Linked DNA regions of Macaca fascicularis. The protein of the gene in region 1 interacts with the protein of each later gene in a biochemical or structural test. Links are inferred from orthologs where the notes say so. Each region holds a gene or a part of one and is shown on either strand. Other genes may lie near its edges.

Region 1 (3,645 bases):
AGGCCCCCTACCCTGCAGGGAGGGAGGAAGAGGCCAGCGCCCTCCGACATCAAGGTCAGTCTTTTCCAAGGAGGTCATCCAGGGGGTGCCACCCTCCCGCCAGCTTGCCTTCTCTTCTTACCCGCCGCCCCTTCTCCCACAGGCTGCCCTGCAGAGGGTGGCACATCAACTCGCAGCAGACCCTGGCCACCAAGGACAGGCAGCCGCTCAGTCTGAGACACTGCAGGTGGCGGAGGCCTTGGCCCTCCCAGTGGCGCGGAGGAGGGCATCTCCTCTCCAGCATGTGGCTTCCTCTCCCACTCCCCCTTCTCGTCCTTCCTCTCCCCTCTGCCCAGCCCCTGCCTTGGCCTCCCCCATGGCCTCCCGCCCCACCCCCACCCGTCACACTCACACAAGGTTGACATCGTCTGCCTGTGGCTCCACGAACACACCAAGTTTCAAATCCTTTGTTGCTGCCGCTGCCTCTGTGACACCCCCACGACAGGGCCAGAGGCGGTGGGCACCCCCAGTCTCTTGAAATCCCCCCGAAGCAGCTTTCACAGCCTCTCCTTCTCCCTCTTCTACATGGAGGGGGAAAAAAAAAGAATCAAAAGGAATTGCCCGAGGAAATGTTGGGTGTGGCCATGTTTTTGAATGTTTTTTAAAAAATATTTTATTATTAGCCCACCGATCAATTTGGAAAGATGCAATTTGCTCTTATTCCCATCACTGATTTTGAAGTCCCGAGCCAAAGCCGAGCGATAAAAGCCGGTTAAGTGATGAACCGATTAACCGAACTGCGAGGAGCAGCTGGGGGCAGAGGGCGGGGCCGGGTCATTATTCTTTTTTTTTCCACACTCTCACTCTCTCTTCTCTCCACGATTATTGACCGCCCCGGGGGCCTGATCACAAACCCTGCTTGGCCAGGGAGGCAGACACCTCGTCGGCTAGCGTGGCGAGCTGGGGCGAGTCTACCATGTCGATGCTGCCGGTGGAGGAGACATTGCTGAGGTGCCGTGGAGACGTGTCCCCAGACACCACCGGCGACTTGTACACGATTTCCGCCCCGTGGTCTGTCTTGGCTTTGGCGTTCTCGCGGAAGGTCAGCTTGTGGGTTTCAATCTGCAAGGAGAAGAGGAAGGGAGGGAGGGTGAGATGAAGTGCCAGAGAAAGAGAGACCAGCCCTGCCAACTGCCCTGCCAGGCCTGGCCCACAGTGCCAGGGACTGTTGTTTATTTGTTTTTGAGACAGGGTCTTGCTCTATCACCCAGGCTAGAGTGAGGTGGTGCAATCTCACCTCACTGCAGCCTCAACCTCCCAGGCTCAGGTGATTCTCCCACCTCAGCCTCCCGGGTAGCTGGGATTACAGGTGCATTCCACCACACCTGGCTAGTTTTTTGTATTTTTAATAGAAACGGGGTTTCACTATGTTGCCCAGGCTGGTCTCGAACTCTTGGGCGGAAGCAATCTGCCCGCCTCGGCCTCTCAGAGTGCTGCCATTACAGGCGTGAGCCACTGTGCCTGGCCAGAAGCTGTTGTTTTTATTGTCTTCCAATTCGTAATCCCTGTGCCCACTCCTCCCCTGACCTGCCTCCCAGGCACCCAGGTACCCTCCCCAGAGACAGTGATCATTTTAAGTTTCTTGTGTATCCTGCAGAGATATTCCACACATAAACAAACACATGTGTGAGTGTATATGTACACAGGCTGCTTAGTATTCCGTCACCACGGATGTATCCAAAGGCGTCTACTCCTCTGTGAATGGATGCCTAGGCTGCTCCCGCCTTTAGTGATTACAGGCAATGGTGTGTATGAACAACCTCAGATAAATAACCCTGAATGAACATCATGTCACACACCTGTAAGTGTGTCCTAGAAGTGGAGCTCTTAGGTCAAAAGGCATGCGCATTTTATTTTGATAGATATTGCCAGATTGCAAAGGAAAATGTGGAAGGAGAAGCTGGAGAAGATCAAGGATGTCTCCCACAGCCACTGATGCCCAGACATGAGCCACACACATTCCTCCTGTTTGCCAGTGACTGATGAGTTTGGAGGGGCAGCAACTGTGGGCAGCACTGGCAGGTGGGCCACAAAACATGACATGACAAAGGCCTTTTTATGTGTGGGTGGGTGGATGGGTGATTTAGGATGGAGTCTGTCTAGCGACTTATCTATCCATCTATTATACATCCATCTATCTATCTATCTATCTATCTATCTATCTATCTATCTATCTATCTATCTACCTATCTATCTATCATCTACCTATCTATCTACTTGCCCAGGCTGGCCTCAAATTCCTGGGCTCAAGCAATCTTCCCACCTGAACCTCCCGGGCAGCTGGGACTACAGGCTCATGCCACCGTGCCTGGCTGAAGCCCTTTTGAAAGTAGAGAAACAGGCCGGGCGCGGTGGCTCAAGCCTGTAATCCCAGCACTTTGGGAGGCCGAGACGGGCGGATCACGAGGTCAGGAGATCAAGACCATCCTGGCTAACACGGTGAAACCCCGTCTCTACTAAAAAAAAATACAAAAAACTAGCCGGGCGAGGTGGCGGGCGCCTGTAGTCCCAGCTACTCGGGAGGCTGAGGCAGGAGAATGGCGTAAACCCGGGAGGCGGAGCTTGCAGTGAGCTGAGATCCAGCCACTGCACTCCAGCCTGGGTGGCAGAGCGAGACTCCGTCTCAAAAAAAAAAAAAAGAAAAAAAAAGAAAGTAGAGAAACACATGACCTAGCCAGGAGCCCCGAAGGATACCAGGAAACGCGGAAGCAGAAGGCGCTCACTGGAGAAGTGAGCAGCGCACAGGAATTCCTGATGACCCTGAAGCGGCCGACAGGGTTATCCTCAGCCCTTGTTGGGTCCTAGGCTCTTTGAGCATCTGGTAAAGCCAAAAATATGTGTGCACATGTCCACCCACGCTCACACCCACACAGCCATTTTCCATATAATTTTAGGAGTCCATGGATCCAGGCTGAAGGGCCCCTATTGCAGCAGGCTTGAATGGGCATAGAGAAAACCATGCTCCCGTTTAAGCTAGATGCATATTTTGTTCATTTGCAGTCACTACTTTGAAAAACAGATTGTTCTCTATTAGTGTATTTTCTTTTTCTTTTTCTTTTTTTTTTTTTTTTAGACAAAGTTTCACTCTTGTCACCCAGGCTGGAGTGCAGTGGCGCAATCTCAGCTCACTGCAACCTCCACCTCCCGGGATCAAGCAATTCTGCCTCGGCCTCCCGAGCAGCTGGGACTACAGGTGTGTGCCACCACACCCAGCTAATTTTTGTATTTTTTGTAGAGACGGGGTTCTGCTGCATTGGCCGGGCTGGTGTCGAACTCCTGATTTCAGGTGATCTGCCTGCCTTGGCCTCCCAAAGTGCTGGGGTTACAGGCGTGAGCCACCATGCCTGGCCTGTTACTGTATTTTCTTGAAAGACCATTTAATACAAGCTTTGATAAAAATATTTATGTTAATGTTTTTTGAAGTGTTTTTTAAGAGAAAGTTGACATTCCTGGGAATGTCCAAAAATCCCCAAACTGAAAGGAACCCAGGAGGCTGGTGGTGTGCCCCACTGCTTGTTAGCAATTTTTCTCAACACACGGAAAACGGGACTAACGCTGCGGGGATCCCTGGGACCAGGATGATGTTTTCTGAGTAGGGGCAGGGCC
Region 2 (3,745 bases), on another chromosome or scaffold:
TATATAGTACTTTTACCGTGCAGCTACAATAGACGTAAGTAACCTCAAGATCACAGATAATGGCAAATGTAGTAAGATAATTAGGACGTGATGAGTATGTATTACCTGGACTTTTAATATAATTTAATTGTATGTTTGCATAATTTAATTTTTAATAATGGCTGTGTTTAACAACCAGTTCCAAAATTCCTGAGACATAACAATCAGCTTGCTCCAGCCAGATCCAGCACACTGCTGTTTTAGAAGGGAAAACTGAGGGTCAGGAAAGTGGCCCTCAGATAGACGAAGGCAGGGCACAGACCCCTTCCCAAAACCGTGTGACTCCCAGGCCAAGACTATGTAATGCCCGTTTTTCTTGTGGATGGTCCCCACAGCGCTGTGTGGCCTCCGAGAGGCCTTTGTCCTCTCTGGTCTCAGTCTGCCCGCATGGGGAGTGGCCGTGCCCTGCAGGCGAATACCTGCACAGGGTTCCTTCGCACCTGCCAGTGAGCAACACACGGATTCTTCCTCTCACTTTACAAACTGGGAAAGTGAAGCCCAGAAAGGGCAAGTACTTGCCCTGGGTCATACAGGTGGACAGAGATGGTCCCCAGCTGGGGTGCAGAGGAGAGGATACTGCAGCCCCAACCGGGGGGTCTGGAGCTTTGTGGGTTGGTGGAGGCGGCCTGACTAGGGAGGTCGCTGAGCCCTCAGCATTGGCCAAGCCCTGCACACCATCCCCTTGACCCACCCCACCCTTAAGCCTCCGAGGGAAGAGCTTCCCCTGCCCCCCCGCCAACTGGGGAGAGAATGGACCGGGGGGGGGGGGGGGGGAGGGACAATGTGGGCAGCGCCTCTGAGGGCTTCTCTGGCTCAGTCCCTTTATCTCCATCTCTTCACAGATCTCTGCGTCTTTGTATCTCTTTGTCTCTCCCTGTGTGTGTGTGGGGGGGGGTCTCTCTTAGTCTTTGTCCCTCTGCGTCTCTGGGTCTCTCTGTCTCCGTGTCCCTGTATCTCTCCCTCTCTGTCCTCTGGCTCTCCGTTCATCTCCTTGCGCCTCTCTCTCCACCCTTTTGTAACTCGTCTCTCTCTCTTTGTGTCTCTTTATCTCTACGCCTCTCGATCTCTCTCTCTGCGTCTCTGGCGCTCTGCCCCGGTCTCTCTCTCCCCTTCTCTCCTCTCCAGTGCGCCTCTTCTTCTGGGCGAGAACACGCTCCCCGCCGGCGCGCCCAGACCCGCCTCCGCCCCCGGCGCCCCGGACCAGCCCGGGCCTGCGCCTTTAAGGGCCGGCGGCGGGGGGCGGGGTCCCGGTGCCCCGCCCTGCCCGCCCCTCCCCCTGACGTCCCTTCCTCCCTCCCCAGCCCCTCCACCGCCTCCCTCCGCCGCCGCCTGGGCCGGCTCCGCGCCCCCTCCGCGGCCCCCGCCCGCCCGCCTGCCCGCCCGCCGCCCCCATGGCGCCCGGGGTCCCCGCTGCACGGGGCCACTAGGACCCTCGGGGTCCCTTCCCCTCCCCCGCCCTGTCCTCTCTCCCGCGGCGCGGACCCGGGCGTTCTCGGCGCCCAGCTTTTGAGCTCGCGTCCCCAGGCCGGCAGGGGGGGGAGGGGAAGAGAGGGGACCCTGGGACCCCCGCCCCCCCCACCCGGCCGCCCCTGCCCCCCGGGACCCGGAGAAGATGTCTTCGCGGACGGTGCTGGCCCCGGGCAACGATCGGAACTCGGACACGGTGAGTGGGGCCCGGCCCCTTGGGGAGCCCTGACTGGGTCCAGCCGCCAAACCCTTCGCCCCGCTGTGCCCCTCGCCCCGCGAGCCCCTACCCTCGTTTCCTGGGCTCGACCCTACTCGTCGCCTCTCGACCCCTCCCGGACTTCCAGGCCTCTCGGCCCTCCCCACCTTTTCCAGCCCAGCCCGACCCCTGGGGGCGCCCCTCTCTCGGGACCCCTCTCTTGTCCCCGTGCAGAACGCTTCCGCTCGGGTCTGTTCCCTCCAGGAAGCCCCCTCCCCTGCTTCCAGGAGCCCCTCCCTTCCCTCGCGCGTGCTAAGCCCTTTCCCCTCCAGGCTGTCCGCGTCCGACACCTCGCCCCCTCCCGGATTTGCAGGGCCCCTGACCCCCCAAGGCCCGGCCCTGGCTCTCCCAGCGGGGCCTGGCCCTGTCCTGCCTCTGGCTCCGGCCTTCCCTATCTGGGGCTTGGTGCCGGCTCTCCAGGAGCCCCTCTCCTCTCATTCCCAGTCCTCTGCCCCTCCAGGACGCACCCGGGGCGCCTGTGGGCAGCCCCTGGCAGGAAGCTGGTTTCCACCTCTCCTGGGCCCCGGCCCTTTTCTGCCGCCTTCAAGGTCTCTCCTGTCCCAGGCCTGGTCCCCATCTTCCAAGCAGCCCTGTCCCTAGATCCCAGCACTCCGGGGCCCCCAGAAGCCACCTGGACCCTTTCTGGTCTCTTCCTCTCCCAGGAAGCCTTGGCCTCCAACTTCCAGGCCCCCACCTCACCCAGGCTCGTATTTCTAGGCCCTGGACCAGTCTGACTCCAGGCCTCATCCGCCCTCTATCAACTTCTCAGCTTCAGGCAAGCCCCTTCCCCAACCCCCAACCTCTCCACCCATGCTAGGCCAAACTTAGGCCCCTTCCCCACAAACCACCGTCCTTTCTCCTGCCCCAGGGCCTCCCCCTTCCTTGCTGGGGGTCTGGCCTCCCAAGGAAGCCCCCTCCTCAGCTTCAGAGGCCTTCCTCAGCTACAGGGCCTGGCCCCAGATCCTTCTTCCAGAAAACTCCCAGACCTGAAGCCTCTCATCTTGCCCTGGCTTCAAGCCCCTCATCTTGCCCTGGCTTCAAGCCCTTTTCCCTTGGGGTCAATCTGTTGGAAGCCTTCTCCCCAAATTTCTAGACCCTTTGACCTCCCCCAGGGCTCAGCCTTTATTCGTCTGTGCTGCTCCTTGCCCAAGAAACCCCTACCCCATACTTCCAGGTCCCCCAGACCCTTCTCTAGTTTCAAGGACTGCTCCTAGAAACCCCCTTCTCTGATTCCTAGGAGCTTCCCAAGATCCAGGGATTCCTGGCCTCTGACTTCCACTGCCCCAATAGCTTTGTCACTTTCCACCATTCCCAGGCGCCCCCTGCCTCTACACTGTTTCCCAGAGAGTCCCAGGGAGGCCCCTCCCTATCTCCTGTGTCTCTGATCACTCTGATCACTTCCAAAGACCTGCCCACCACCCAATCCTAGACGTCTCCCCAGCTGGGATCTTTGTGTCTTTCTCCAAATCTTTCTGCCAGGTCCCTGTTCCCCTTCCCCCTGTTTCCCTCACCTCTGACAGACCGCCCCCCCCACGCGCACACACCATCAGAGATTTGTATCTGTCCCTTCCTCATCTTGCAGATCCCTCCCTCACAGAGACCACCCCCATCATCACTACGGGCCAGAACTCCAATTTGGAGTCTAATGAAATGCCTACTACCTCTGTTCCTTGGTCACTGCAATCTACAGTGAGGTGCCAGGGGCTCCACAGTCCTGGGTTCCAATGCTGGCATGGCTAGCTGGTTTGCCTTGTGTCCTCAGAAAACCAGTTCTCCCTTTCTGAGCCTCAGTTTCCTGCCCTGGAAAATAGGGGTGACCGCTTGAGTGCCTCCTTGGCTTACTCGATTCAGGCAAAGCCTGGCACCTAGGAAGCACTCCACAAATGCCAGCTGCTATTGTGGCTGTGGGTATGAGTCAGACGGCCCGTGGATTCTCAGCTCAGGGCTGTTATTAGTTGTTGAGTGAGGCTGCAGATTCACTCC
Region 3 (3,645 bases), on another chromosome or scaffold:
AGATCCCCCAAATTATGGTAAAGTCCCTGATAGGTCAGGGCAGGGGGCCTTGTCCAGATAGGATACCAGAGCCCAAGTCTCACTCAACCAGTTAACACCCTGTGGCCAGTTGCCCTCCTGGTTCGGAGGAGGGGATGGTCTCAGGACTAGGAGCCACCATCAGGTCCCAAACAGCCTGCAACAACCAGCAGCCACAGCTGCCCAAGAGCCTGGGATGAGAACTCCAAGCAACAGACTCCGCTGCTTCTTCACCTTTCACCCTGACCTCTCTGGCCCTTTGTCCCTGCATCTGTCAAACGGCACTGCCCGCCACCGCCCCAAGCTGCTGTGGGATGGATGAGATGAGACTCTGTGGGAAGCCCTTGGCACGGTGTCTGGCACACGACTCCTGCTCAGTGTTGGCTGTCGTGGCCGCCCTCCTCCTGTCGTTGCCGCCCTCCTCCTGTCGTTTTGCTCAGTGCCCATGGCTGGCAGCACTGTGATGCCACCCCAGGGTTCCCGGGTGCCTGGTACCTGACAGGTGCATTACCTGGTAGGCGCATTTCCGGTGCAGTTTTTTCTGGTCCTTGTACCACTGCATGAGCTCCTTCATGAAAGTGATTGTCACTTTGCCATCCTCAAGCTTGGGTCCGCTGTACTCATCCTCAATGGCTGGGGTGTGAACGAGGGGGGACACGAGAGTCAGTGACCACAGCCACTGTGAGTGGGGAAGAGGTCTCGCTCCTAGGGATGGGGCAAACCTGGCTCTGGACACACAGGTTGAGAGAGGGACGGAGCAAGTGAAGAGTCCCCTCCTGGGTCAGGTCTGGCCCAGAGGCCTCTTCCTGACCTCCCTCTCTACCTTCACCCACATCCTTTTACCCTATTCAGTTTTATGGCACTTAGCACTATTCATTTCGTGACTTGTTCATCATCTTATCTCCCTCCTAGAATATCAGCTCCATGAGGACAGGGAGGGCTTTGTTCATAGCTGTACCCCCAGTGCCTAGGACAGTGCCCGGCACATAGGAGATGCTCAATAATCATCTGTGGGATGATCCAGAACAATCACTTGGATCCTCTCAGCACCTAGAGGTGAATCAGACACAGCCTGTGGGGCCTGTGCTACTACCCAGAGGGAGGGCCCGTGAACTGGCAGTGGGTCCACGGCTCCCCAGTCTTGCTCACTGGGAAACGTGAGGCCCTGCTTTGGGCTGTGGATGGAGTGCCCTGGAACACAGGCAGAGGAGTGACAGACAGTAGGCTGGGGACAGAACAAGGGGCCACCCCTGAGCCCACCCCCACCCCCAGGGAATGAAGAGGGCCCGCGTGGAATGTTCTGGGCTGAAGCATGGCGCGCCCGGGCCCGACTCACTCATGCTCTCGATGTCCAGTGAGTCCACCACGGAGCGCTTGTGCTCGTCGCCCGCGATGGCCCGCTCAAAGGCCTTCTGCTTCACGATCTTGTTGCACTCCTGGTATTTCATTTTGGCGTCCTTGTCGTGGGGCTTCACCTTGACAACCTGGTGGGGAGGGAAGGAGTGTGCACGCTGAGGCTGAGGTGGGGGTACAGCGGCTGCCCCCAGGCTGCCCAGCCCTGGGTTCCATGAACACGGAAGTCAGACCGCCTGGGCGCCAGGTGCTGACGGTGCAACCCTGGACATGTTTAACCTCTGAGCCTTGATTTCTGCACCCCAAAACTGGGTACAGCAAAGCTGCCCGCACGGGTGCACTTCATCAATCTTAGCCAAGAGTGCGCTAAAATCAAACAACTGCCTGTCTGAGGGTTATGGGCTCAGGGTGCCCTGTAAGAATCCCTGTGGGGCGAGCGACGTCCCAAGCACATGTCCTGATGCTACTATCGTGACTACCAAGGCGGCAGGAGGATGAGAGGAAGGGCCCGCAAAGGGCCAATGACTTGCTGGACGACATGGGCTCCCCAAGCCCAGGTTACCTCATCTCTAACAGGGAGGTGACACAGGGCTCCCCTGCCAGGGCTGTGGGAAGTAATAAGTAACACACAAGGCCTGGCACGCAGCAGGGGCAGGCGGGCAGCAACACTGAGTGCTGTCACTTCTCTTGCTCACCCTCTGGGGAGGCCTGGGACAAAGGATTTCCCTGTTTTGTCCACTGAAGAGAGGAACTGAGGGTCACAGATCCCGGACACTGGGTTCAAATCCCAGCTCTGTAGGTCATGAGTTGGGTGACCTCAGGCAGGTGAGTCTGCTTCTGTGGCTCAGTTTCCCTCTGAGGTGGGACTGAGAACCGTGTCTCCCTCAGAAGGCCGCGGTGAGAGCTGCACGGGTGAATCTTGTGAACTCTGCACAGTGGTGCCAGGTGAAAGGAAACTCCACGTTGGCGCCCACTGCTCTTCACGGTCCCCGCTCTGGGGCTGCTGCGCTGATGACCAGATCAGATGATAGGCGTGGGGCGCTCGGCTTTGGGACAGAGCAAGTTCCCAGTGAAGGGAGCCCTATCCTCTCCCCTCTCCCCATCTTATTTACTCCAATTCCTGCAAACTCGGATCTTCTAACCTGAAAAGCAGACTGGATTTGGGAGCTGGATTCGGATCCTGGCTCTGCTACTTACTTGCCGTGTGACTTTGGGCAAGTGACTTCACCTCTCTGAGTCTCAGTTTAGTCATGTAGACCCTGTCTGACCTGCCCACCAGCCTTAGCCTCCCCAGGAGCGGACCCCCACAGCTCCTGTGCCAGAGGACAGACTGGGAGGCCCCAGGGCCGGCCCTCAAGGAGCAGGGGTGGCCTCTGGTGGAAAGCCTGGCAGTGTGAGTCAGAAACCTCCAGAGACACCCACTGACCCCTGCAGGCTGGTGTGACAGAGGTGAGGGGTGAGGCTCATCCACGCTGGGAACAGGTGTGTGTGTCAAGCGGGGTGAGAAGAGCCCATGCCTAGCAGGCCACGGCTTCCTCCCTGTCTGGGCAGGCCCAGGGCACCCTGCCAGGCAGCTCCACCTGGGCTGTGGGTGGGTGTAAGGCAGGGGAGGAAGATAGCACCAGGCAGCCCCTGGCATCCTTCCCAATGGGGAGCGGTTATGTGCGCACACCCGGCTGGTGTCCAAATCAGCATGTGTCCTGGCCCATGCGGCTCCTCCCACCCCTCTATACCTCCCAGCCAGACCACTCATGTCCCCAGCGTGCTGGCTCCGGGCCTTTGTGCAGGCTGCCCCTGCCCGGAGCACCTCATTCGCACCTCCACCTCCTCCTCCAGGTCTCAGCCCCACTGTCCCCTCCTCTAGGAAGCCCCAGAGGCTGGGTCAGGCAACCTCTCTGGGCTCCCAAAGGCCCCTGGGCTCCCTTGTTCCAGCCATGAGCCCTGCTGGGAACCGGTCTGTCCACCGCACTGGAAGGGGGCCCTGTGAGGGCAGGGCTGAGGCTCAGCCATAGCTGTGCTTGCAGCAGTGAATGAATTTCCCTTCCCCTCTTTCTCCAAACAAATGAATGAGTGACTGAGCATTTCCTCCCCGCCAGTCTCCTATTCTCCTATTCTCCGGGGGCGGGCGGGCTAGGAAGGAAGATGAAGGCAAACAATAACAGTGCAGGCAGGAGAAAGGGAGTGGGAATAGCAACAGGGGCAGCGGAAGCAGTAATAATACACAGCTCACTTCTGGAGCACTGACTATGCGCCTAATACCGTGTGAGCAATTCA

What was found.
Region 2: of the proteins of MAPT (region 1) and MARK4, one has a biochemical effect on the other in vitro, tested with the Homo sapiens proteins (2 studies listed by BioGRID). The link is inferred for Macaca fascicularis from reciprocal best matches to the Homo sapiens genes MAPT and MARK4.
Region 3: of the proteins of MAPT (region 1) and PPP5C, one has a biochemical effect on the other in vitro, tested with the Homo sapiens proteins (3 studies listed by BioGRID). The link is inferred for Macaca fascicularis from reciprocal best matches to the Homo sapiens genes MAPT and PPP5C.

The regions. Positions count from the first base shown.
Region 1 is NC_088390.1:67,600,393-67,604,037, reverse strand, and holds part of MAPT (microtubule-associated protein tau), read right to left. Parts: intron 1,102-3,645; coding exon 886-1,101; 3' UTR 1-885. UniProt on the Homo sapiens protein: Promotes microtubule assembly and stability, and might be involved in the establishment and maintenance of neuronal polarity.
Region 2 is NC_088393.1:53,300,572-53,304,316, forward strand, and holds the start of MARK4 (MAP/microtubule affinity-regulating kinase 4), read left to right. Parts: upstream 1-1,352; 5' UTR 1,353-1,651; coding exon 1,652-1,702; intron 1,703-3,745. UniProt on the Homo sapiens protein: Serine/threonine-protein kinase. Phosphorylates the microtubule-associated protein MAPT/TAU. Also phosphorylates the microtubule-associated proteins MAP2 and MAP4.
Region 3 is NC_088393.1:54,404,291-54,407,935, reverse strand, and holds part of PPP5C (serine/threonine-protein phosphatase 5), read right to left. Parts: intron 1,503-3,645; coding exon 1,355-1,502; intron 652-1,354; coding exon 530-651; intron 1-529. UniProt on the Homo sapiens protein: Serine/threonine-protein phosphatase that dephosphorylates a myriad of proteins involved in different signaling pathways including the kinases CSNK1E, ASK1/MAP3K5, PRKDC and RAF1, the nuclear receptors NR3C1, PPARG, ESR1 and ESR2, SMAD proteins and TAU/MAPT.